2 linked regions of the Canis lupus familiaris genome follow. The protein of the gene in region 2 purifies or fractionates together with the protein of the main gene of each other region. This does not show direct contact. Links are inferred from orthologs where the notes say so. Each region holds a gene or a part of one and is shown on either strand. Other genes may lie near its edges. The genes, in order: POLR1E and NFKBIB.

What was found.
Region 1: the proteins of NFKBIB (region 2) and POLR1E purify together in Homo sapiens (affinity purification with mass spectrometry; 3 studies listed by BioGRID and IntAct, counting the BioPlex papers as one, with this or other methods). This does not show direct contact. The link is inferred for Canis lupus familiaris from reciprocal best matches to the Homo sapiens genes NFKBIB and POLR1E.

The regions. Positions count from the first base shown.
Region 1 is NC_049232.1:54,122,974-54,134,056, forward strand, and holds the start of POLR1E (DNA-directed RNA polymerase I subunit RPA49), read left to right. Parts: upstream 1-3,976; 5' UTR 3,977-4,095; coding exon 4,096-4,171; intron 4,172-4,683; coding exon 4,684-4,787; intron 4,788-6,000; coding exon 6,001-6,077; intron 6,078-6,923; coding exon 6,924-7,009; intron 7,010-9,353; coding exon 9,354-9,412; intron 9,413-10,402; coding exon 10,403-10,547; intron 10,548-11,083. UniProt on the Homo sapiens protein: Component of RNA polymerase I (Pol I), a DNA-dependent RNA polymerase which synthesizes ribosomal RNA precursors using the four ribonucleoside triphosphates as substrates.
Region 2 is NC_049222.1:114,996,172-115,007,242, reverse strand, and holds the start of NFKBIB (NF-kappa-B inhibitor beta), read left to right. Parts: upstream 1-3,355; 5' UTR 3,356-3,440; coding exon 3,441-3,619; intron 3,620-11,071. Other genes in the region: SIRT2 (NAD-dependent protein deacetylase sirtuin-2), read right to left, coding at 2,976-3,101. UniProt on the Homo sapiens protein: Inhibits NF-kappa-B by complexing with and trapping it in the cytoplasm.

The sequences.
Region 1 (11,083 bases), on a different chromosome or scaffold from region 2:
GTGTGGCTCCAGAAAGCAGGACTGGAATTACAGAAGCTACAGAAGGTAGATTCAGCTTCGTGTAAGGCAAGACCTATCCATGGTGAAGGCGGCCCCATAAGGAAGGGGTTTTCCACGTATACAGGATACAAGCAGCATCTGCATCAGGGATATAGAGAAAGAGAAAAAAATAGAGAAGGGAGAACGGGAGAGTGAGCAAACAGAAAAAGAAAGGAAGAAGAGAGGCAGAGGTGGGGAAAAGGGAGAGAAAAGGTGAGGCAGAAGAAACGGGAGAGTACACACTGAGTTGCAAGCGCTTTCAGGTCTTCGTTAGCCATATCCTGAACCGCCAGCAGATGGAGATATCACCCAAGGAAAAGGGGACTGCCTCCGGCCCACCGCACCGTGCCCCGGACCTTATTCTTTTCTTATTCTCTAAATATCCGTTCACTCTCCTGAAAAATGATGCTGAGAGAACTCCAGAAGTCTCTGAATTTCCAAACTAAGCTTATAAACAAACATTTAATGGTAAATGTTGCCTCTGATTACCCCTGATTCTGATTTAGAAGAAGGCTTTGTAGTTTCTGCGTTTGGGGCACTGCCTGAGTAGGGCTCCCTCCAGCTTGCCTCCTCCCAGTTATATGCACATGTATATATACATATACAGTGTACACGAGTTTTGAATCACTGCTAAATAATTAAACAACATAGGGGTATGTTACAGTCCCCTTCCTAGTCACCCCGCCATTAACACTTTGCTTCCCCAAGTAGAAGCGCTGTCACTTTGAATTCCTAACTGTGGTTATTCTGGGAGTCTTTACTCTCAATCCATGTGTGCTTTCTTCATTCTTCCATGTAGCCATAAAGCATCCAATTTTAAGGACTTTCACAGACTCGTCAGACTGGTAAACATGTGCCCAAAAGGGAAACAATCTTTTACAACAGCGCTTCCCAACCTTGAAGCACACACGAATCACCCAGGGATCTTGTTAAGTGCAGATTCTGATTCAGGAGATTTGATAGGGCTGCAGATTCTGCACTGCTGATGAGTTCCCAGATAACATTAGTGCTGCTAGCCCAAGAACCACACTTTGAGCAGCAAGGCTAAATGTCCTTATATTAAGAGGGTCAGGACACCTCTCAGCTACAATTGACTCCTTGTAGTCATGCTGTCTTCTTTGTCACCCCTTAACTTTGACTTAACTGTTCATGTGTTCATTCAACCAACCAACATTTACAGAGAATCTACTCTGTGTGAACCCCAATGCCAGTCAATTTGAAGCACGGTTAGTAAGCATCTTTGAGCTCCAGTCCCGGGATTCCTAGGATTTAGTGATGATTCAAATTCATTCCTTGCCGTGTCATTCATTCATTCGATATTTATTGAGGATCTACTTATGTGCCAGGTACTGTTCCGGGAGCTAGAGATGCACAAAACAATATATAAATTGGGATGCTTGGGTGGCACAGTTGGTTGGGCATCTGATTCTTGGTTTCGGCTTAGGTTATGATCTCAGGGTTGTGGGATTGAGCCCCATGCCCAGCTCTGTACTCAGCTCTGAGTCCACTTGAGGTTCTCGCTCCCTCTCCCAGCCCTTCCTGCTTATGTGCTATCTCTGTTTCTTAAATAAATAAATAAATAAATAAATAAATAAATAAATAAATAAATAATCCACAAATCCGTTTATTGCTAAACCCCCAACTTTATTGTTAGCCTCAAGTAAGTTTGTATCCAATAGGGGAGACAGGTAAATAATTAGGCAATTAAGCTCCTTCCCCCTTACCTTTTTTCCTTTTCTCTTCCTGAACAACTCAATCCAAAAGCCATTCAGTGATCAAGCAAAGTAGCTTTCCCCTCAGAGGTACAGGGGAGCCTGCAGTGGTCTAGAGCAGGGGTACTGGAGCCAAGCAAGATGAGAAGGTTATCCAAGCGGAAAGTGTGGCCTGGTACAGACTTTCTGAGCCCAATCAAGGTGAGAAGGGCATCTGGGCAGGGGGACACCCTGGTGAGGGTTGTCAGAGTCTAAACAGGATAAGGAGGGCATCTGCGATAGTTAATTTTATGTGTCAACTTGACTGGCTTCTAGGTGCCAGATTAAACATTATTTCTATGTGTGTTTATGAGAGTATTTCTGGATATTACCATTTTAATTTAATTAGTGGACTCCGTAAAGTAGACTGCCCTCACCAGTGTGGGTGACATCATCCAATCTCTTGACGTTCTGAATAGAACAAAAGGTGGAGGAAGAAGGAGTGTTTTCGGTTTTTTTCTTGCCTCATTTGTGAGTTGGAACATCTTGTCTCATCTTCTCTGATCATTGCGCTTGAAATTAAACCACTGGCAGGGTTCCTTAGTTCTCAGGCCCTCAGACTTACACCACCAGCTTTCCTACTGGTGTACACATGGCAAACTGTGGAGCTTCTCAGCCTTCATAATTGTGTGAACCAATTATTCATATTAATAAACCTCTCTCTCTCTAAATATATATATAGATAGAGATATCCTACTGGTTCTGCTTCTCTGGAGAACTCTAATACAGTATCCATGTAGTGGTCAGAACTTGGTTTAAGGTGTTAGAGCCTGAACGGGCTAATAATCACCCCCATGTCAGGTGATGGTGGTGGTGATAGTGATGGGAGATGTGTTAAAGGAGGACTGATCAAATAAGTAATATATTAACTAATGGAACCCAGGTTTCTCACTGTCAGAGAAGGAAGTTACAAATATGGGAGGAAGGAAAATCAGAATAAACTCTGTGGTGCTGAATTGGAATTAGAAGTCACTATGATCTCATGGTTTTCAATATATATGGATCTAGAAATTCTAAGTTTTAGAAACTTACTGTTAGTTGTGAAAGTGTGTTTACTTACATATAATCCCTAAGTCAGTTCATTCAGGCCTGGGAGCTGTGACATCCCCCAAGCAGTCCATACCTACTACAGAGATCTTAGTTTCTGAATACTGTTTCCTACCAAAAGAAACCAGAACTCCTTGGAGAAATGGGTGATTCCAGGGCTGGGGCAGGGAAACTACATGACAAATTGAAATATCTTGTGCCAGAAAGTAAGGACACGTTCAAAAAAATGATGTGGACATGTAAAAAGAACCCAGAAACCAACTTAACGGGGTTTCCACTGGCCCGATCTGATAAAACTAGAACTTGAAAATAGGTGATAGTAGATTCTAATCTATTGAATAAAATAGGAATCTACAAGTCCAGACTGATATAAATAAATGAATAAATTGGTAGTGCGATGAACAGGAAATTAGTTTCTCAATACCCACTCACAAAATAAGAGTCAGGTACAAAGGGAAATTACAAAGCAAAGAGAGTAATTTTACAGCAGGGAAACCTCTAACTGGTTGAAGTGGTCAAAGTTATCAGTAATCGGACAAAGAGAAATTGTGGGCCACCTAATAGGATACAGTGAGCATCGTATCCGTGATAGCCCTGCCAAAGGCGCACGCATAACCTGAAACTAGTCATTTGGAAACATTAGACAAATCCAGATTGAGGGACATTCTACAGAACAACTGGCCTGTAATCTTTAAAATTTGCAGGAACTGCAAATGAGGAACTGTTCTGGGTTGAAGGAAACTAAAGACCGTTGAGTAAATGCAACCTGTGTTTTCGGACAGGTTCTTTCTGCTGTAAACACTTTACTGGGACAATTGGTGACGTACTTTGTTGAGACTCGAAGGCGACCTGGGTAACAGATGAGGCCACCTGAGTTCTTGCCCTCAAAGATACCTGCCTTTGAATCCACGCTCAAAGGGTCCGGCTTTGGCCCTTCCGCTCTGCTAAGTCGCCTGATCCCCCACAACCCTCAACGCGTAGGCGAGCGCGGCGCCCCCGGGAGGCCAGCGGGGCAGAGGCCTGGGGCCCCCAGGGTTGGCAGAGAGAGTCCCCGCCTCTCCATGCGGCGGGGCGGGGCGAAGAGTGGGCGGGGGAGCGCGGCGGGGGCGGGGCCGCGCCGTGTGCGCACGCGCGGGGCGGGGCGGGGCCGAGGAGGCCACGCCTCTTCCGCCCCGCGGTTCTGCCGCCGCGTGTGGACCGCTAAGGCGCTCCGGGCCGAGTCTATCCGGGTCCTTAGCCTTGGCGGCCGGACCGGGAGATGGCGGCGGAGGTGTTGCCGAGTGCGCGGTGGCTATACTGTGGGCAGCCCGACGAGAGCCAGAGAGCCGTACTGGGTAAAGACCGCGGAGCCGGAGCCGAGTCCCGCACAGCTCCCTCCGCTCCCGTCTGGGTGCTTCTGCAGCCCTCCTGCCCCTGCCGGACCCCTTTCCCGGCTGGGCCAAGACGCCCTCTAGCCTCCGGCACTGCTTGGGACTTGGTCACCCCCCATCTCTCTGTCACCACCTGGATGGGGACATCCCAGGCAGCCTCCTCCTCAGGGCTCTCCCAGTCACCCCGTCACGCACTCACACCTGCCCCGTATCCTTTTCTCCACGGTCTGGGCTAGGCTTCAGCTGTTTAACCCTGGTCATCTCCTTCCGTCGCGGCCCTTCGCCAGCACTGCCCTCACCTCCCGGTCTCCTCTTCCCGACCGGCAGGGACCTCCTTCAGGCCCCCCTTCAGGCCTGGGCTTCCTTACCACTCCCATGCCTTCAGACGCTCTCTCCCAACGAACAGTCCGGTTCCTCCCCACCATACACACTGTGGGTCCTTCTACTCATCTCATTTTTGCGCTGCAATCTTACAGTGCAGTTCTCCAACGGGAAGCTGCAGAATCCAGGCAACGTGCGTTTTACTTTGTACAAGAGCAATGACTCCACAAACCCCAGGAAGAGGAGTCAGCGGATTCTGGTAAGTGCTGCGGGGGCCAGCTGCCTCCACTCTGCAGATTTCTGAAGGTCTTGGAGGCGCTTGGGTGTGGGTGGATGTGGGAGGGAGGGAGAGGAGAAAAGAGATAGCAAATGAGCCTTGGGAGAACCGTGAGTCCCAGCAGGTTGGGGTGTGGGGACAGGCTCCATTCATTCAGTTATGTACTTTTGGTGAAGTGATGACCTTTCATTGATCTATTCATTCAGCAAGCTTTTATTGAGCACCCACCGTGGCTGTGCTGTAAGCTGCACGGGAAATAGCGAAATGGGACTTGGCTCCACCCTGGGGGAGCTCCTACTCTAGAGCAGGGTTGCTCAGTCTTGGCACTATTGACATTTTGATCCAGATAATTCTGTGTTGTGGGCCAGACCTGTGCATTGCGGGATGTTCAGCTTCCCTGGTCTCTAACCACTAGATACCAGTAGCACCTCCTCTTTGTGACACCCAGAATTCCCAGAGGTGTCCCTCACGCCCCCTCACCCCCCCCCAACCAAGGGTGATTTGCTGGGTGAGAACAACTGCTTTCGAAAGGTGAGAACTGGTTTTGAGTTCAGTAACTCACACAAGCCTGCAAGCTCTGAGCCTGGAACGAGTTCATTTGAGCTCAGGAAGTCTCTGCTTGTCAGAAGGCCTTCCTGGGGGAGGACACATAGCAGCTAAGCTCTGAAGACTGGAGGACGGTTTGACAGCTGAGGTTCCCTATTCCAAGTGAAAAGGAGAGCAGGGACAAACATAGGGAAGCAGGAAAGCTTGGCTGTGATTGAGGAGTGAATTAGCTGTCTCCATAGTCCTGCCAGCATATAAGCAGCAGCCATGGGAGAGATGGACAAAGAAGTTCAGGAAGGCTTGGACTTTGGGCCCAGGAGGTTGCTGGCAGAACCATTTTGTTGCATGCCTCTAAGTGCTAGCCCAGGAGCTCTCTCCCAAGTCCTGTGGTATAGCTCCCCTGAGCACTTTTCAGACCAGCTAGAAGCCAGCACTATATGGGGCTTCCCTTTCAAAAGTCCTCTTGCCTTTCTCCCAGAGACACCCAGATTCACTTGGAGAGTGGGGCTGGATCACCTCCCAGAGGCTCTCTAGTTCTGATCCACTGTGGTTTGGATTCTAAAGCTTTTGCAAATGTGGGAAAGGGAGACAATATGCTTGATACCTCTCAACATTGGTTGTGGTGGTGCTTTTTCACTTTACATTTTAGGCAGCTGAAACAGACAGACTTTCCTACGTGGGAAACAATTTCGGGACTGGAGCCCTCAAATGCAACACTTTGTGCAGGTAGGGGTTGGGGAAGGGACAACAAGGGGAGGATAGTGGTGGTGAGCCTGGCACTGTTGTTTTCGGTCTTTATTTTAGGAGTCGGGGGCAAATCTGGAGAGGTTTACCATGTCCTTGGGTTCCCAGATCCAGGGGCCTTCACAACCAACATGCCTAAAAAGAAAAAATAAGTTAACATTTGTTGGATTTCCTAAAATCTCATTCATTTGTAATTTTCTTTAAGATAATTTTTAGGGGTGCTTGGCTGGCTCAGTCATTGGAGCTTGGGACTCTTAGTCTTGAGGCTGTGAGTTTGAGCCCCACTTTGGGAGTAAAGATTACTTTAAAAAGTCTTAAATAATAATTTTTTAACTGCGATATAACTTTACACTAGTTTTAGGTATATAATATAATGATTAGATATTTGTATATGTTGCAAAATGGTCACCACAATAAGCAGTCATCCAGGGGTGCCTGGGTGGCTCAGTTGATTAAGCCTCTGCTTTTGGCTCAGGTCATGATCCCTGCTTCCTGGGATCAAGCCCCATGTTGGGCTCCCTGCTCAGCAAGGAGTCTGCTTCTCCCTCCTCCTGCTCTCACTCTTTCTCTCCCTCTCAAATAAAATCTTAAAAAAAAAAAAAAAAAAAAAAGTCATCCACTGCCACACATATTACAATTTTTTTCTTGTAATTAGAACTTTTAAGATTTGCTCTCAGCAACTTTTTTGTTTTAAGAGCACAGAGGGAGAGGGAGAAGCAGGCTCCCTGCTGAAGGACTGTTAAGAACTTTTAAGCAGGAAAAAGGAAGTTGTAAAACAGTACTTTTTGAGGAATCCTTTGTCATTGGTATTATTCCAACTTTGCTCAGGCACTTTGTGGGAATTCTCAACAAGACCTCTGGCCAGATGCAAGTGTATGATGCTGAATTGTTCAACATGCAGCCACTGTTTGCAGGTAGGACCCAGTCACGAAGGCTTGCAAGAACACTGCATGTTTTAGGTTTGCTGGATGAGTTTGGTTTTGATTTGTAAAACACATTTGTTATTTTTAAAAGGGTGCCTTCCTGCAAATATTTATTGATAACTTACTTTGCTCCAGGCACAAGTTAGTGGCTAGGGATGTAGCAGAACAGATACAGGTCCTGTCGCTGCTATGTTTACAGATTTGAGATCAGAAAATAATCAGTTAAAGCCATTTGAGCAGGGTTGCCTGGGTGGATCAGTTAAGCGTCTGCCTTTGGCTCAGGTCATGATCTCAGGGTCCTGCTCAGCAGGGAGTCTGCTTCTCCCTCTTTCTCTGTGCTTGTGGTCTCTCACTCTCAAATCAGTGAATAAAATCTTTAAAAGGTGGGGAGGGAGACTAAAAGGTGGTGAGGGGGACGCCTGGGTGGCTCAGCGTCTGCCTTCTGGGTGGCTCAGGGGCTGCCCTGGAGTAGAGGCTTTAGAGAAGATGGGAGTTACTTAGAGGTTAGACAGCCCTTTTCATGTTGATGAGAAGTCTCTCTATACTTTCTAATTAGGAGGAGATCCATTTTTTCCCCTAATTTAGTGAGAGAGCTTGTACTGCTTCTCTTCTTTGGCATTTTATGATGCTCAGGGCCAGAGTGTGGGATCTTCCAGAATGATAGGTCAGAGGGTCAGACTCAAGGGGCTCCTGTTCTCTAAATCTTAAATACTGAGAACCACAGTGAGGGAGGGTATAGTTGAGGAAGGATTGTTAGGGTCACAGTAGATCTGCCTGATGCCTTCCAAGGCAGTAGTTCTGGCTTTATTCCTGCAGAGCAGTGGTGCCAGTCCTTTCAAGAATCTGAAGGACCAGGGGATCCCTGGGTGGCTCAGCGGTTTAGAGCCTGCCTTTGGCCCAGGGCGCGATCCTGGAGTCCCGGGATCGAGTCCCATGTCGGGCTCCCAGCATGGAGCCTGCTTCTCCCTCTGCCTGTGTCTCTGCCTCTCTCTCTCTCTCTCTATGTCTATCATAAATAAATAAATAAATCTTAAAAAAAAAAGAAAGAATCTGAAGGACTGGACCTACTTTCCAGAAACATACGTAATACGTAAGAATATATATGAAATTTTGCATATAATTGTAAAGGGCTCTGAGTCCCATCTGCGACTCTCCTAGGGGTCCAGAGTCTGTAGGTTAAGGACTCCTTGCTTTGCGAACAAATACATCTACATTTAAATTATCCTCCAGGGCAGCCGGGGTGGCTCAGGGAGTTTAGCTGCTGCCTTCAGCCCAGGGCGTGATCCTGGACCCAGATCGAGTCCCACGGGCTTCCTGCAGGGAACCTGCTTCTCCCTCTGCCTCTGCCTCTGTCTCTGTCTCTGCCTCCCCCTCCCTCTCCCTCTCTCTCTCTGTTTCCCATGAATAAATAAATAAAATCTTTAAAATAAATAAATAATCCTCCAAGTGCTCTTCTGACTTCCAAGGAGGCAAAGGAAATTGTTCTCAAATTTTTGTTTTTACAGGTAAAAAATGTGTAAATACTAGTTTATTCTAGCCAACATATATATACACGTACACACACATGCAGCATTTATTGAGTCCTTAACTATTTGTCAGGCACTGTTCTAAGTACTTTTAATGCACGAGGATTGTCATAATTCATGTGACAACCCTCTGGTGGTTCTATCGATGACGAAACTGGTACAGAGTTTGACAGGGACATAATGTTGATGTGTGTGTGTGTGTGTGTATATATATATATACACACACCTTTATATATAATTATAATGTGTATATATAAAAATATAAATTTCCTTTATCCGTCTTTATCTATCTATATGACCTGGGATTGAAACTCAGACAAGGCCACTCTAGAGCTTATACTCCTACCCTCTAGATTATACTGCCCTTATATGAATACTTTATGGGAGATAAGAGAGCTTCATGTAAGTAACACATACCTTACATTTATGCTTGCTTATCTTTTATAAGGCGGGCAAAACTATTTACTGCAAAGAGCCGAGGACTTGGTTTCTAATCCCATCTCGGCCACTGCCTGGTGAACTGACTTAGGACAAATCATTTCGTTGGGAGGCTTTTTCCTTATTTGTAAAATGAAGAGGTTGGACCAGATGACCCCTTCATTTGACTCCTTAATTTCTTCTCCATATCCTCCAACTGTATACTAAAGCGACAGACTAAATATTCATAGGATCCATCATGTTAAACTCTGGGAAGTCCTACAGTAAAGAAATCTGTCTGTCTTAGATTAACAGTGAATAAATATTAAATGCTATTATAATCTGGGCCTTACAGCTTCCTTTTTTCCTATTTTTGTTTTGTGTCTTGATAGATGAATCACTTGAGAGCGACTTGACACAAGAGAGTCAGGCCAAAACTTTTAGAGAAAAGGTAAGAATGACAGAAGTGAGACATGGGACCTGCCTCACGTTCCTTCTGTGCCTTGTGCTTCTCCATCAGGAAAATGAGCTGACTGAGCACAGGGCTGCTCCCAGCTCATTCTGTCTGTGGTTCTCCAGTCAGCCTGCCTGTGGAGGCTTCTCAGCTTCACAGAGCGCCGTCCTCCCGCCTGGGGCAGCTATACTCAGCTCCATCCCAGTGTTTGGAACTGATTCTCTGGGCTGACATAGGTGTAGTGTAACACTTGTTTTTGGATTGAATGCAAGTTTCAGAAAATTCTGGCTGTAGCCTGGAAGCTTTCACATTAAAACAGAGTAAACTTCAGGATTTTCAGCGTAGGTGGTTCCTATAAAGCTAATCTCACTCCAGGATTGCAAATTGATTGAGTCTTCAGTGCTGCCTGGAGCACTGTATTGAGAAGGTGTGAGGCTGTCTTCAGGCTCAGTGGGAAAGAGTGAGTGATTAGCAACATCTGCTATGGGTGTAAGGCTGGAAAATGGTAAGTTATGTGCCAGATTTACCAATCCTCATTCTGATCCAGGCTTTTCACTGTACAAATGGAGACACTGTTGATTTGTAAAGAGCCCATGACAGTTTCCAAAGCAAGTACTTCAGGGATCCCTGGGTGGCGTAGCGGTTTGGTGCCTGCCTTTGGCCCAGGGCGCGATCCTGGAGATCCGGGATCGAGTCCCACGTCGGGCTCCCGGTGCATGGAGCCTGCTTCTCCCTCTGCCTGTGTCTCTGCCTCTCTCTCTCACTGTGTGCCTATCATAAATAAATAAAAATTAAAAAAAAAAATTAGCCAAAGCAGGTACTTCAGATCTGCTAATACACCAGCCTGTGAGATAGAGAGGTATGATTTAGCCTGATTTATAGGTGAGGTAATCCTGGCCTAGAAAGGCTGAGTTTCCGCATGGTCACACAGCTAGGAGTAGTAGTGCCCAGACTGTCCCTACACAAACCAAATTTGTCTATGCACAGATGGATTCTTGCATTGAAGCCTTTGGAACCACCAAACAGAAGCGGGCTTTGAACTCCAGAAGAATGAACACAGTTGGCAGTGAATCTCTGAACTGTGCAGTAGCTAAAGCTGCAGAGAATATTATTGATGCGAAGGGTGTAACTGGTAAGCAGCTGGGACTTGGAGTAAGAGTCTGCTCATTGAGACAGCTTCCTTGTCTCTTGAGATCTCTTACCTGCTCCACAGATGGAAATAAGGGTGTGTTAGGGCTGGGTTCCTTCCTCACTCTCACTGAGCACCTTCTTGGGAACAGACTTTGGAAATAGTAAGAAACATCTGCCCTCAGGGAGCTCACAGTCAAGCGGAGGAGACGGGCATGGGAACGGGTATGTTTACACTGTGTCCTGAGTGCCAGGGTGCGAAGGGAGAAAGCCTCAGTGTCTGGGAATCACAGGAAAGTTTTGGACAAAAAGACTGATACGATGAAGTGAGCCTTTACAGATAGTGCTTCACTCTGGGATCAGTGGACCTTTTTCTGTTCCTAAATTCATCAGTAGCTTGAGTGTTTAATTGTATTGTTTAAAAGTGTATTTGTTCAAAAGCATTATGAGAACATAAGAGAAAGTTTACATAAGAGCAGCCTTTCTATTAAAATGAGGTTTTAGGGGATGCCTGAGTAGCTCAGTGGTTGAGCACCTGCC
Region 2 (11,071 bases):
CCCTCTGGGGGCCCGGTCTTGGCCTCCTCCCTAAGCTCCCAGCCTAGTCCCTACCTCTGATTGACTCTACTGCCCTCCGGGTGATGGCCTGGCTGTGTCAGCCCACCCCCTCCACCCCAAGCACCCCTCTCGCTGGCTTTTCCAGTCTGACCATCCGATCATCAACATGTATGGAGTCCGCCCTGATGTCAGCTCCAGGATGGCAGGGATTTTTCATGTTCACCAGTGGACGCCCAGCACCGAGAATGGGGTCTGGCCCCTGGCAGGAGCTCCAGAACTATCCACCACTGATCGAATGGATACTTGCTGTGCGCTACACCAGGGCTGGGCCCTGCAACGGACCTCACAAAAACACAATTCTGACCAATGCACTCCCCTGATTAAAACCCTTCCACCGACCCCGTTCCCCATCATTCTCCGCTCCGACTCCAAGCCTTTTTTTAACAGGAACCGCCCTTCCAAATATATTTAAAATTTTCTATAAGCTTTGCAAAAGCTTTGACCATTAGACGATGTACGACTTGAGGCACTCGCATCCCGTTCCCACCGCAGTCACCATAACCACTATTAACAGTACAGTGGTAATTACTCTAGATTTTTTTCTCTGCATATAAAACTCGTTATTTTTCCAGAAATGGGTCATGCCACAGTACAATGCTGCACCTTGCGTCTTCCGCAGAACAATATACCATAGATCCACCTCATTCTTTAAAAAAGCTACATAGTGTTGCATTGTAGGGATGAGCCATAGTTCATTTAACCCGCCTACTGACAGCCACTTGGGCTGTTTCCAGGGTTGCCCCATAGCAGACAATACTGTAATTTATATCCTCGGATCTCTCTTGCTGGGACTGAGGATCCCTTTTTAACATTAAAACTTTCTGTGACAGCGGTTGAGCCCTGGGAGCCAGGCAAGGGAGAAGCCCTGGCCTGACAGGAAGCTTTCAGACCCTCAGTGTGGCCCTCTGTGCATCTGTCAGGTGCCTTCATCACAGCTTCTGTGCTGCCCTACATCTGAACAGCGAGCTCACGTCTGTGGGGGGTTGGCATTCTTTCAGGCTGCAGACAGTGAGCCTCTGTGGAAGGACTCGAGGGCCCTGCCCAGCATGTGGGAGCGACTTGGGCCTAAGGGGGAGCTGGAGGTGCTGGTTGGGGCCTTCAAGTCTTCGTGAGGTGGCCTGGCTACCTCTTCCTGAAGCGTCTGGAAGGCAATGTGCTGGGTGCCGTGGGTTGCAAAGCAGTCCCTGCTCTTCTAGCTGGGGGGCCAGAGGACAAGTTACAGAACAGCTCTGCTGCAGATTCCTCATCTGTGAAATGGCCCCAGTAGGCCTTGAACTGCCCCCCAACTACCACCACCACAGGGATTCTGGGAAGGTGAAATGCTATGATGTACACAGAGCACTGGGTGGAGTACCCGGCTCAATAAATGCTAACCTCAAATATAATTAGCTAACCACCCACAGCTACCAGACCATTGACCACATCACACCCTTCGTGCCCCCCTCCCAGTCCTGGTACAAGCTGTACACTCTGCGTGGAACGCCATTTCTCACTGTGCCTAAGAAAATTCTAAGTCACTCTTCACTTACTGTCAAGTGTCTGTACCTCAATCTGACTCCTGGACCGGCCTGTGGATTTGCCCTGGGAACGGACCGGCTGGAAACTGTTGACCCTCACAAAGTTTACTCTGCCTTGAGCTACTTTCATAATCACTCTGGAGGGTCATTTCTAGTCACTTGTCTGTGGGATCTGGGCGTTCAAGGACCAACTTGGATGCCTGTCTCTTCCATGCCCAGCATAAATGAGGTTCAGAAAGGTTAAGGGTAGGGAGCAAGGAAAGAGAAAAGTCAGGGAGGACAGGTCTGGAGTTGAGGGTGCACAGCTTTTTCTGCCAGTCCCCGGAATCCACCATTCCCAGGGGGCCGAACCAGGAGTGGGGGCAAGGGGCTGGGGTGATGCCCTGAGGGCCCTGGGGTAACTGTCTCCCCTCTGCCACCTCCACCCCCCCCAGAGTGTGGGGTGTGGGAACACGTCCATTTCTCTCCTTCCCTCCACCCTTCCCCAAATCTCACCTGAGCCTCCTGCACCTTCCCTGCCTGGGTCTCCAGAGGGTCAGAGGCTGGGGGAGGAGGGGGAGCAGACGTGGTTACAGTGCGGGGCACAGTTAAGTGGGGATGAAGGGCTTCAAAGCAGAGGGGCAAGGGGCAAGAAGACCCACCAACCTAATTATACTGGGGTGGGAGGTGGTGGTAAAAGCTGAGCAGAGGGAGGGAGGGGATGGGGAAAAGCAGATCTTATTAGGATAGACAGTGCTGTCTGGAGAAGTGGTTAGTGACAGACAGAGGCTGGGGCAGGAAGGTTTGGGAGAGGGAGGAGAAAGTAAAGCATACAGGCATGGAGGAAGACTTAGAAGTGAGGAAGCAAACAGTAGTGAGTGTGTGTGTGAGCACGTGTGTGTGCAGGGAGGGTTAGGGTTTACAAACAGAGGGAAGTTTAAAAAAGGAAGAGAGAAAACAAAATACGCTTAGCAGAGACAGGTTTAGGAAAGGAGGTGCAGTGGAGACAGCACGTTTAGGAGGGGCACAGGAACTAGAGGGACGAGACAGGAGGGGGCGCCAGGGGTCCCCGAGCATCCTACAGTTCCCCCTAACAACCAGGTACCCTTAGCAACCGGGGCCGCGGCAATCTAAGTCCTTAGCAACGAGGGTCCTCAGCAACCGAGGTGCGAGAAACACGCGGTCATTAGTAACTTAGGGGACGTAGCAAAGGACCCTTACAATCTCGCGACCCAGAAACCCACCAGCCTGGCAAGATGGATCACTTAGCAACGACCCCCCACCCCCGCCCCGATTCCCACTGGCCGCCATGCAGCCCCCGTCTCCAGCCCCACCACGCCGGTCCTCGGGCCCCGGGGCCTGCAGCCCTCAGCCAGGCCCCGGTGCGACCCGACCCTCCCACCGGGGCCCCCGACTCACGGTCCGGCTCGGCCATGGGCGCGGGGCGGGGGCCCTCGGGGCTGTCACCGACTGCTCTGTCCCGTGACGGCACCGGAAACAGGAGGGGCAGAGACAGGGCAGAGAACTACGACTCCCAGCAGTCATCGAGGATGCATACAGGCTTTTCGTCCAGCGGCGCCTGCCGCTCTCGGGCTAGGAAGACACGGACGGCGAGACTACGAGTCCCAGAGGGCTCCGCGCAGGCAGCCATGTTGGTAAAGGGCGGCCGGAAACTGTGGGAATGGGTAGAGAGCCGCAGTCCGTCTGAATACTCTGAATGGTCACTGTGTGGTAAGGGGGCGGGGCGTGTGCTCTTTAGGTCATTCTGATTGGGTGAGCCAAGGGGGAGTGTTGGGGAATTCCCCGCAGGGCGGAAGCGCCGGGGCTTCAGGCAAAGCCAGCTACAGGCGGGCGGCCGCTGGGGCCCCTGAGGCTTCGGGGGCCATGGCCGGGGTCGCGTGCTTGGGGAAAGCTGCGGAGGCCGACGAATGGTGCGACAGCGGCCTGGGCTCTCTGGGTCCCGACGCAGCAGCCCCCGGAGGACCGGGGCTGGGCGCCGAGCTGGGCCCGGGGTTGTCGTGGGCGCCCCTCGTCTTTGGCTACGTCACTGAGGATGGGGACACGTGAGTGAACCTTAGGCTGCCTAACGGGGCCCTAGGATCCCACCTCTGATTCCCTATTAGTCTCCTATCCCGGCTCCCTAACCTTTCACTCTTAAATCTAACTTCTGATGCTCGACTTTCTGATTTGTAACTCCTAACCTTTAGTAAAACCAATTTCCTAGCCAACTTTGACCCTAACTCCTTAATTTCTCCGACTTTCCTTTCTTGAGCTCTGCTTCATATTGCTCCACATCCCTATCCATTGATCCCCAAACTGGTTTTGATCTTCCCGACCCAAGTCCGGAGACCTTTGTTAGAGTTGTGGTCCAGACAGGCTCCTCCTCACCTCCTACCTCCAAATAGGATCCTTGATCCTTAGCCTCCTGATGGATGCGCCTTGAACTTAGATTTCCAAAATTAATACATGACCTTGATTCTTAACATTCTACCTTCTGAGCACCGATCTTCAGATCTTACATCCAAAGGGAAAACGTAAGCTCCATGATAGCAGGGATTGATGCCTGTTAAGTATTTGCTGAACACCACCACGTTCCAGGCACTGGTTTAGGTGCTGCGATAAAGCAGTGAGGAAAACAGACAAAAATTTCCGCTCTTGTGGAGTTTACATTCTAAGGTGCGTATGTAGACAGACAAAAGGACAGACAGGCTGACAGAAAGACAGGAAGGAAGGGAGGGAGGGAAAGAGGAGAGAGAAGGAACAAAAGAAACTAAGACACAGACGCAAAGTGAGAAAGAAGAGAAAGGAAAAGAAGAAACAAAGAAAAACGAAAAACAGTATAAAGGAAAGGCAGAAAAATAGTGTATCTGAAGGTAATAAGTTCTTTGGGGGAAAAATAAAGCAGGAAAACGAGATCCGTAGAGTATCTGGGGGAGAACTCTCCAGGCAGAAGGAACCAGAATTGTAAAGGGCGGTGAGGGATTGTCCTGGGGTTTTTTTGTGTATTTGTGTCTACTCATCCAGTCATGGTGACTAAACAGGGCTTGACCCATAAGAGGCGTGCAGGAAATATTGTTCTTTCCAAAGACCCCTGCTGAGGTTTCATTAGTTTTCTTTATTGGTTTTTTGCTTTCTATTTCATTGATCTCTGTTTTGATTTTCATTATTGCCCTCTTCGGCTTACTTTGGGTCTAATTTTTTTTTTTCTTTCTTTCTCTCTTTTTTTAAAGTTTCTTAAGGTGGCAGCTGAGATCATTCATTTGAGACCTTTCTTCTCTAACATTGGTGTTTCATGGTATAAATTTCCAGCAGCAGTACTTTAGCAGTCTCTCACAAATTCTGATATGTTGTGTTTTCATGTTCATTTAATTCAAGATACTTTGTAATTTCTCTTTTGATTTCTTCTTTGGCCAGTGGATTATTTAAAAATATGTTATTTAGGGCGCCTGGGTGGCTCAGTTGGTTGAGCTCAGGTTGTGATCTCAGGGTCCTGGGATGAGCCTCCCATTGGGCTCTGTGCTCAAGTGTGGCATCTGCTTGGAATTCTCTCTCTTTCTCCCTCTGCCCTTCCTGCTTATGCTCTCTCTAAAATAAATAAATAAATAAATCTTTTAAAAAGGGGTAGGGGGCAGAGGGAGAGGGAGAGAGAAACCCAAGCAGGCTCTGTTGGGAGCAGGGCGTGATCCCATGACCCTGAGATCAGGGCCTGAGCTGAAGCCAAGAGTTGGTCATCCAACCCACTGTGCCACCCTGATGCCCCTAAATAAATCTTTTTAAAAAAATAAATATGTTATTTAGTTTCCAGATATTTGGAAAGTTTTCCAAATGTCTCTCTTTTATTGATTTTTAATTTAATTCCCTTGTAGACTGAGAACATACTTTGTATGACTTGGATCCTCGTAAATTTATTGAGAATTGTTTTATGGTGCCACACATTATGCGTGCACTTGAAAAGAGTGAATATTCTGCTGTTGTTGGGTGTAGGGTTCTCTAAAAGTCAATTAGTGGTCCTATTGGTTTATCATTTTATATATCCTTACTAATGGTTTCTGTCTCCTTGTTCTATCAATTATTGAGGAGGGGGCATTGAAATCTCCAGCAGTCATTATGGATTTGTCTCTTGTTCTGTCAGGTTTTGCTTTGTGTAATTTGATGCTCTGTTATTAGGGCATGGATATGTAGAATTATTATGTTCTTTTGCTTAGTTGACCTCTTAATCATTACAAAATAACCTTCTCGATACTTGGTAATATTTCTTGCTCTAAAGTCTAGTATGATATTAAAATATTCACTCCTGGGCAGCCCCGGTGGCCCAGCAGTTTAGTGCCGCCTTCAGCCAGGGCATGATCCTGGAGATCCGGGATCGAGTCCCACATCAGGCTCCCTGCATGGAGCCTGCGTCTCCCTCTGCCTGTGTCTCTGCCTCTCTCTCTCTCTCTCTCTCTCTCTCTCTCTGTGAGTCTGTCATGAATAAATAAAATCTTAAAAAAACACAACTCACTCCTGCTTTCTTTTGACTGACTGGTGTTAGCACAGTATATCTTTTTCCACCCTTTTATTTTAACCTATCTTTTAATACCTATATTTAAAGGGTATTACTTGTAGGAAGCATATATAGTTGGGTTTTGCTTTTTTGTTCAGTCTGACAATTTCTGCCTTTTAATTGGAATGTTTAGACCATTTACATTTAGTTATTGATACAGTTATGTTTATCATCCTTTTGCTAATTTTCTACTTAATACATCTCCTTTGTTTACCTTTTCTTCTTTTTCTGCCTTCTTTTGGAACCTGTAAACCTTGTCCCGTTGTATTCTTTTTTTTTTTTTTTTTTAAAGATTTTTATTTATTTATTCATGATAGTCACAGAGAGAGAGAGAGAGAGGCTCAGAGACACAGGCAGAGGGAGAAGCAGGCTCCGTGCACCGGGAGCCCGACGTGGGATCCGATCCCGGGTCTCCAGGATCGCGCCCTGGGCCAAAGGCAGGCGCCAAACCGCTGCGCCACCCAGGGATCCCTATTCTTTTTTTTTTTTTAAAGATTTTATTTATTTATTCATGAGAGACACGGAGAGAGAGAGAGAGAGAGAGAGAGAGAGAGAGAGAGAGAGAGAGAGGCAGAGACACAGGCAGAGGGAGAAGCAGGCTCCATGCAGGGAGCCCGATGTGGGACTCGATCCGGGGACTCCAGGATCACGCCCTGGGCTGAAGGCAGGCGCTAAACCACTGAACCACCCAGGGATCCCCCATTGTATTCTTTTGTTGGTTCATTAGCTTTATGTATTTATTTAAAGATTTTATTTTTAAATTTTATTTATTTTGTGGGGGAGGGTCAGTGGGAAAGGGAGAGAGAATCTCAAGCCGACTCCCAGTATGGAATCCCATGCAGGGCGTGATCTCACAACCCTAAAGATCATGACCTGATCCAAAATCAAGAGTCAGACACTTAACTAAGCTACCCAGGCGCCCCTTAAGGTGTTTTTAAGTAATCTCTGCACCTAACATGGGGCTCGAACTCATAACCCCAAGATCAAGAGTCGCACGCTCTACTGACTGAGCCAGCCAAAAGTCCCTGGTTTGTTAGCTTTAACACTTCTGTTGATTAAGTGGTTGGCAAACTGGCTTCCAGGAAAAATCTAGCCAGCCATCTGCTTTTGTATGGCTGTAAGCTATGAATGGTATTTACATTTTTAAATGGTCGAAAAAAATCAAAAGACTATTTTGTGGCAAGTGAAAATTATTATGAGAGTCACATTTCAGACCCCACAGATGAAGTTCTGCTGGAATACTGCTTTGCTCATTCATTTACATATAGCTGGTGGCTGCTTTTATATCAACCATAACAGCAGAGCTGAGTAGGTAAAAGAGACACTAGAATCCACAAAGCGTAAAATCTTTATCTGGCCACTTACAGAAAAAGTTTTCTGACCTCTGCTTTATAGCTTATACTGTACAGCTTCAACTTATGATGGGTGAAATTTCGCATAGGGTAAAAGATAAAAGAACCTTAGAATAATATATTTCCATTTGTTCCCTCCTGGCCTTTATGTTCTTGTTGTCATACAGTTTAGTTTCACGTGTGTTATAAACTCCACCATACATTGTTAGTAGTTTTGTTTAAACAAACACTCAACTATTTTTTTTCAAATTACCTTCTAAAGGGACTTGTATTAAAAAAAAAGAGAGAGACATAATGAGAAAAAATCTTCCAGATTTACCCACATAGTTGTTATTTTCAATGTTTGCTATTTATGTGTATAGGCCCATGTTGCTGTGGGATGTCATTTTCATTTTGCTTGCAGGTTTCCTTTAACCTTTCTTTGGAGACAACTTATCGTCTGCTGTCGATAAGTTCCTTCGGCTTTTGTATATCTGAAAACATCATTATTTTGTCTTCATTTTTGAAAGATATTTTTGCTGGGTTAAAGGCTTCTAGGTTGGGGGCACTTGGGTGGCTCACTTGGTTAAGCATCTGCCTCCTGTTCAGGTCTAATCCCAGGGTCCTGGGATCGAGCCCCAGATCAGGCTCCCTGCTCAGCATGGAGGAGTTTGCTTCTCCTCCTTCTAACCCTCTTCCTACTCTCTCACTCACTCACTCACTCTCTCTCTCTCTTTCTCTCAAATAAAATCTTAAAAAAAAATCTAGGTTGAGGGATGTCTGGGTGGCTCAGGCAGTGAAGCATCTGACTCTTGATCTCAGCTCAGGTCTTATCTCAGGGTTGAGTGTAAGCCCTGTGTTGGGCTCCATGCCCAGCATGGAGCCCACTTAAAAAGAAAAAAATCCTAGGTTGAGTGTGTCTTTGAATACTTGAAAGGTGTTGCCCCAATCTGTTCCCCTGTCTAATTTCCTATATGACATCCACTATCATCCTTATTTTTATTTTTCTATAAAGTATCTTTTTCTCTCTAGCTGCTTTTGATATTTTTATCTTTTTTTAAAAAAATTATTATTATTATTATTTTTAAATTTTATTTATTTATGATAGCCACACACACACACACACACACACAGAGAGAGAGAGAGGCAGAGACATAGGCAGAGGGAGAAGCAGGCTCCATGCACCGGGAGCCCGACGTGGGATTCGATCCCAGGTCTCCAGGATCACGCCCTGGGCCAAAGGCAGGCGCCAAACCGCTGCACCACCCAGGGATCCCTAAAAAAATTATTTTAAAAAATTTATTTATTTTAGAGAAAGAGAGAGCAAGTGACTACATAAGTGCAAGGGAGGGGCAAAGGGAGAGGCAGAGAATCCCAAGCAGACTCCATGCTGATTGTGGGGCCCAAGTGGGGCTTGATCTCATAACCTAAGGTGAAACCAAGAGTTGGACCCTTAACCAACTGAGCCACCCAGGCACCACTGAGATTTTTATCTTTACCATTGGGGTTTTGAACCAGATTTTTATGTTGGGCTTTGGTATAGTTTTCCTAATATTTCTTGTTCTTGGGAGTCATTGAGCTTCTTGGATCTGTGAGTTTATAGTTTTCATAAGTTTGGAAAATTTTCTAGACATTATTTCTTCAAATATTTCTATCCCCCACATCATTTAGGGACTTAGTTTCAAATATTAGGGACTCCTGCGTGGCTCAGTGGTTGAGTGTCTGCCTTCAGCTCAGGGCGTGATCCTGGAGTCCCGGGATCAAGTTCCGAATCAGGGTCCCTGTAGGGAGCCTGCTTCTCCCTCTGCCTGTGTCTCTGCCTCTCTCTGTTCTCTAAAGAATAAAGAAATAAAATCTTAAAAGAAAAAAAAGTTTCAAATATTGTTAGGCTGCTTGAAGTTGTTCCATAGCTCACTGATGTTCCTTTCATTTTAAAATAGTCTCTTTTGAGGGTGCCCAGCTGGCTCAGTCATTGGAGTGTGAGACTCTTGATCTTGGGGTCATGAGTTCAAGCCCCATGTTGAGTGTAGAGATGACTTAAACATAAAAAAGAAATTAAAAAAATTCTCTTTGTGTTTCATTCTAAATAGTTCCTATCACAAAGTCATTCGGTAGTTTTTTCTTCTATATTATTTATTTTTTTAGATTTTATTTATTTATTCATGAGAGACACAGAGACATAGGCAGAGACAGAAGCAAGCTCCCTGTGGGGAGCCTGTTGCGGGATTCAATCTTGTGACCCCAGTATCATCACCTGAGCCAAAGGCAGCCACTCAACCACAGCGCCACCTAGGCCTTCCCTCTTCTGCATTGTTTAATCTCTGCTAATCCTGTCCAGTGTATTTTTCGTTTCAGATGCTCTAGTTTTTATCTCTAGGAGTTTGATTTGAGTCTTTGGCTCCTATCACCCATGTCTCTACTTAACTTTTGGAATGTATGAGAGTCACTTACAATGAACTCTTTTAATGGTCTTGTTTGCAGATTCAAACACCTGGGTCATTTCTGGGTCAATTTCAACTGATTGATTATTCTCATTGTGGATCATGTTTTTCTGCTTCTTTTCCTACCTTGTAATCTTTGAATAGATGCCAAACATTGTGAACTTTATCTTGTTAGTCTGGCCAGTTGTATATCTTTCTTTCTTTCTTTCTTTGAGATTTTATTTATTCATGAGAGACACAGAGAGAGGCAGAGACATAGGCAGAGGGAGAAGCAGGCTCCCTGCGGGGACTGTGATGCGGGACTCAATCCCAGGACCTGGGATCACAACCTGAGTTGAAGGCAGATGCTGAATCACTGAGCCACCCAGGTGCCCCTATGTTCCTATAAATATTCTTGAATGTTGCTTTGGGATGCAGTTAAACTACTTTTAAGTAGTTTGATCCTTCTGGGTTTTGCTCTTGTGATTTGTTAGGTGGGTCTGAGCAGCGCTCTATCTAGGGTTTATTATTTCCCACTACAGAGGTAAGACCTTCTAGAGCCTTCTACCCAATGTCCTGTATTTTAGGGGTTTTTCCTAGTCTCACCAGTGGCAACAGGCACTATTTCTGAACCCCTGTGAGCAATGGGCACGTTTCCCTAATCTGTTTACATGGTTTCTTCCCCAGACGGGTAGTTTCTCCGTATCGGTGCACTGATCAGTCTTCTCCTAAATCCTCTCGAGGTCCCTCTGCAAATCTCCAGTGTCTTTCCCTGTTCAGGTCTCTCCTCTTAGGTTCTCTGTCCTTTGACTCCCCCTGCCTTGCTGTCCCCCAACCCAGCTCCATCTCACTCATATGCAGATGGCCAGAACCCTGCCTGGGTTTGCCCTCTCTATGCCATGTCTTCTCTCAAGAAATGTGGCAATCTGTCACAGGTCTCACCTCACTTTGTGTCCGGTGTATTAAGGATCACTGTCATTCATTGCATGAGGACCAGTGTCTGGAAAACTGTTGCTTCCTACACGGCAGTTTGTCTGTTTTTTTTTTGTTGTTGTTATTGATTCAGAGGGGAGGGAAATCTGGTCCCTGCTATTTCATCTTGGGAGGAAGTAGAAGTCCCACTTAATAAACACCAATTAATCAAATCTGCTGAATTAATTCTGACCTGACTCTCCTAGATTCTTGACAGTTGGTTGCAGGATTGTGGTCATAGGGCTTAGC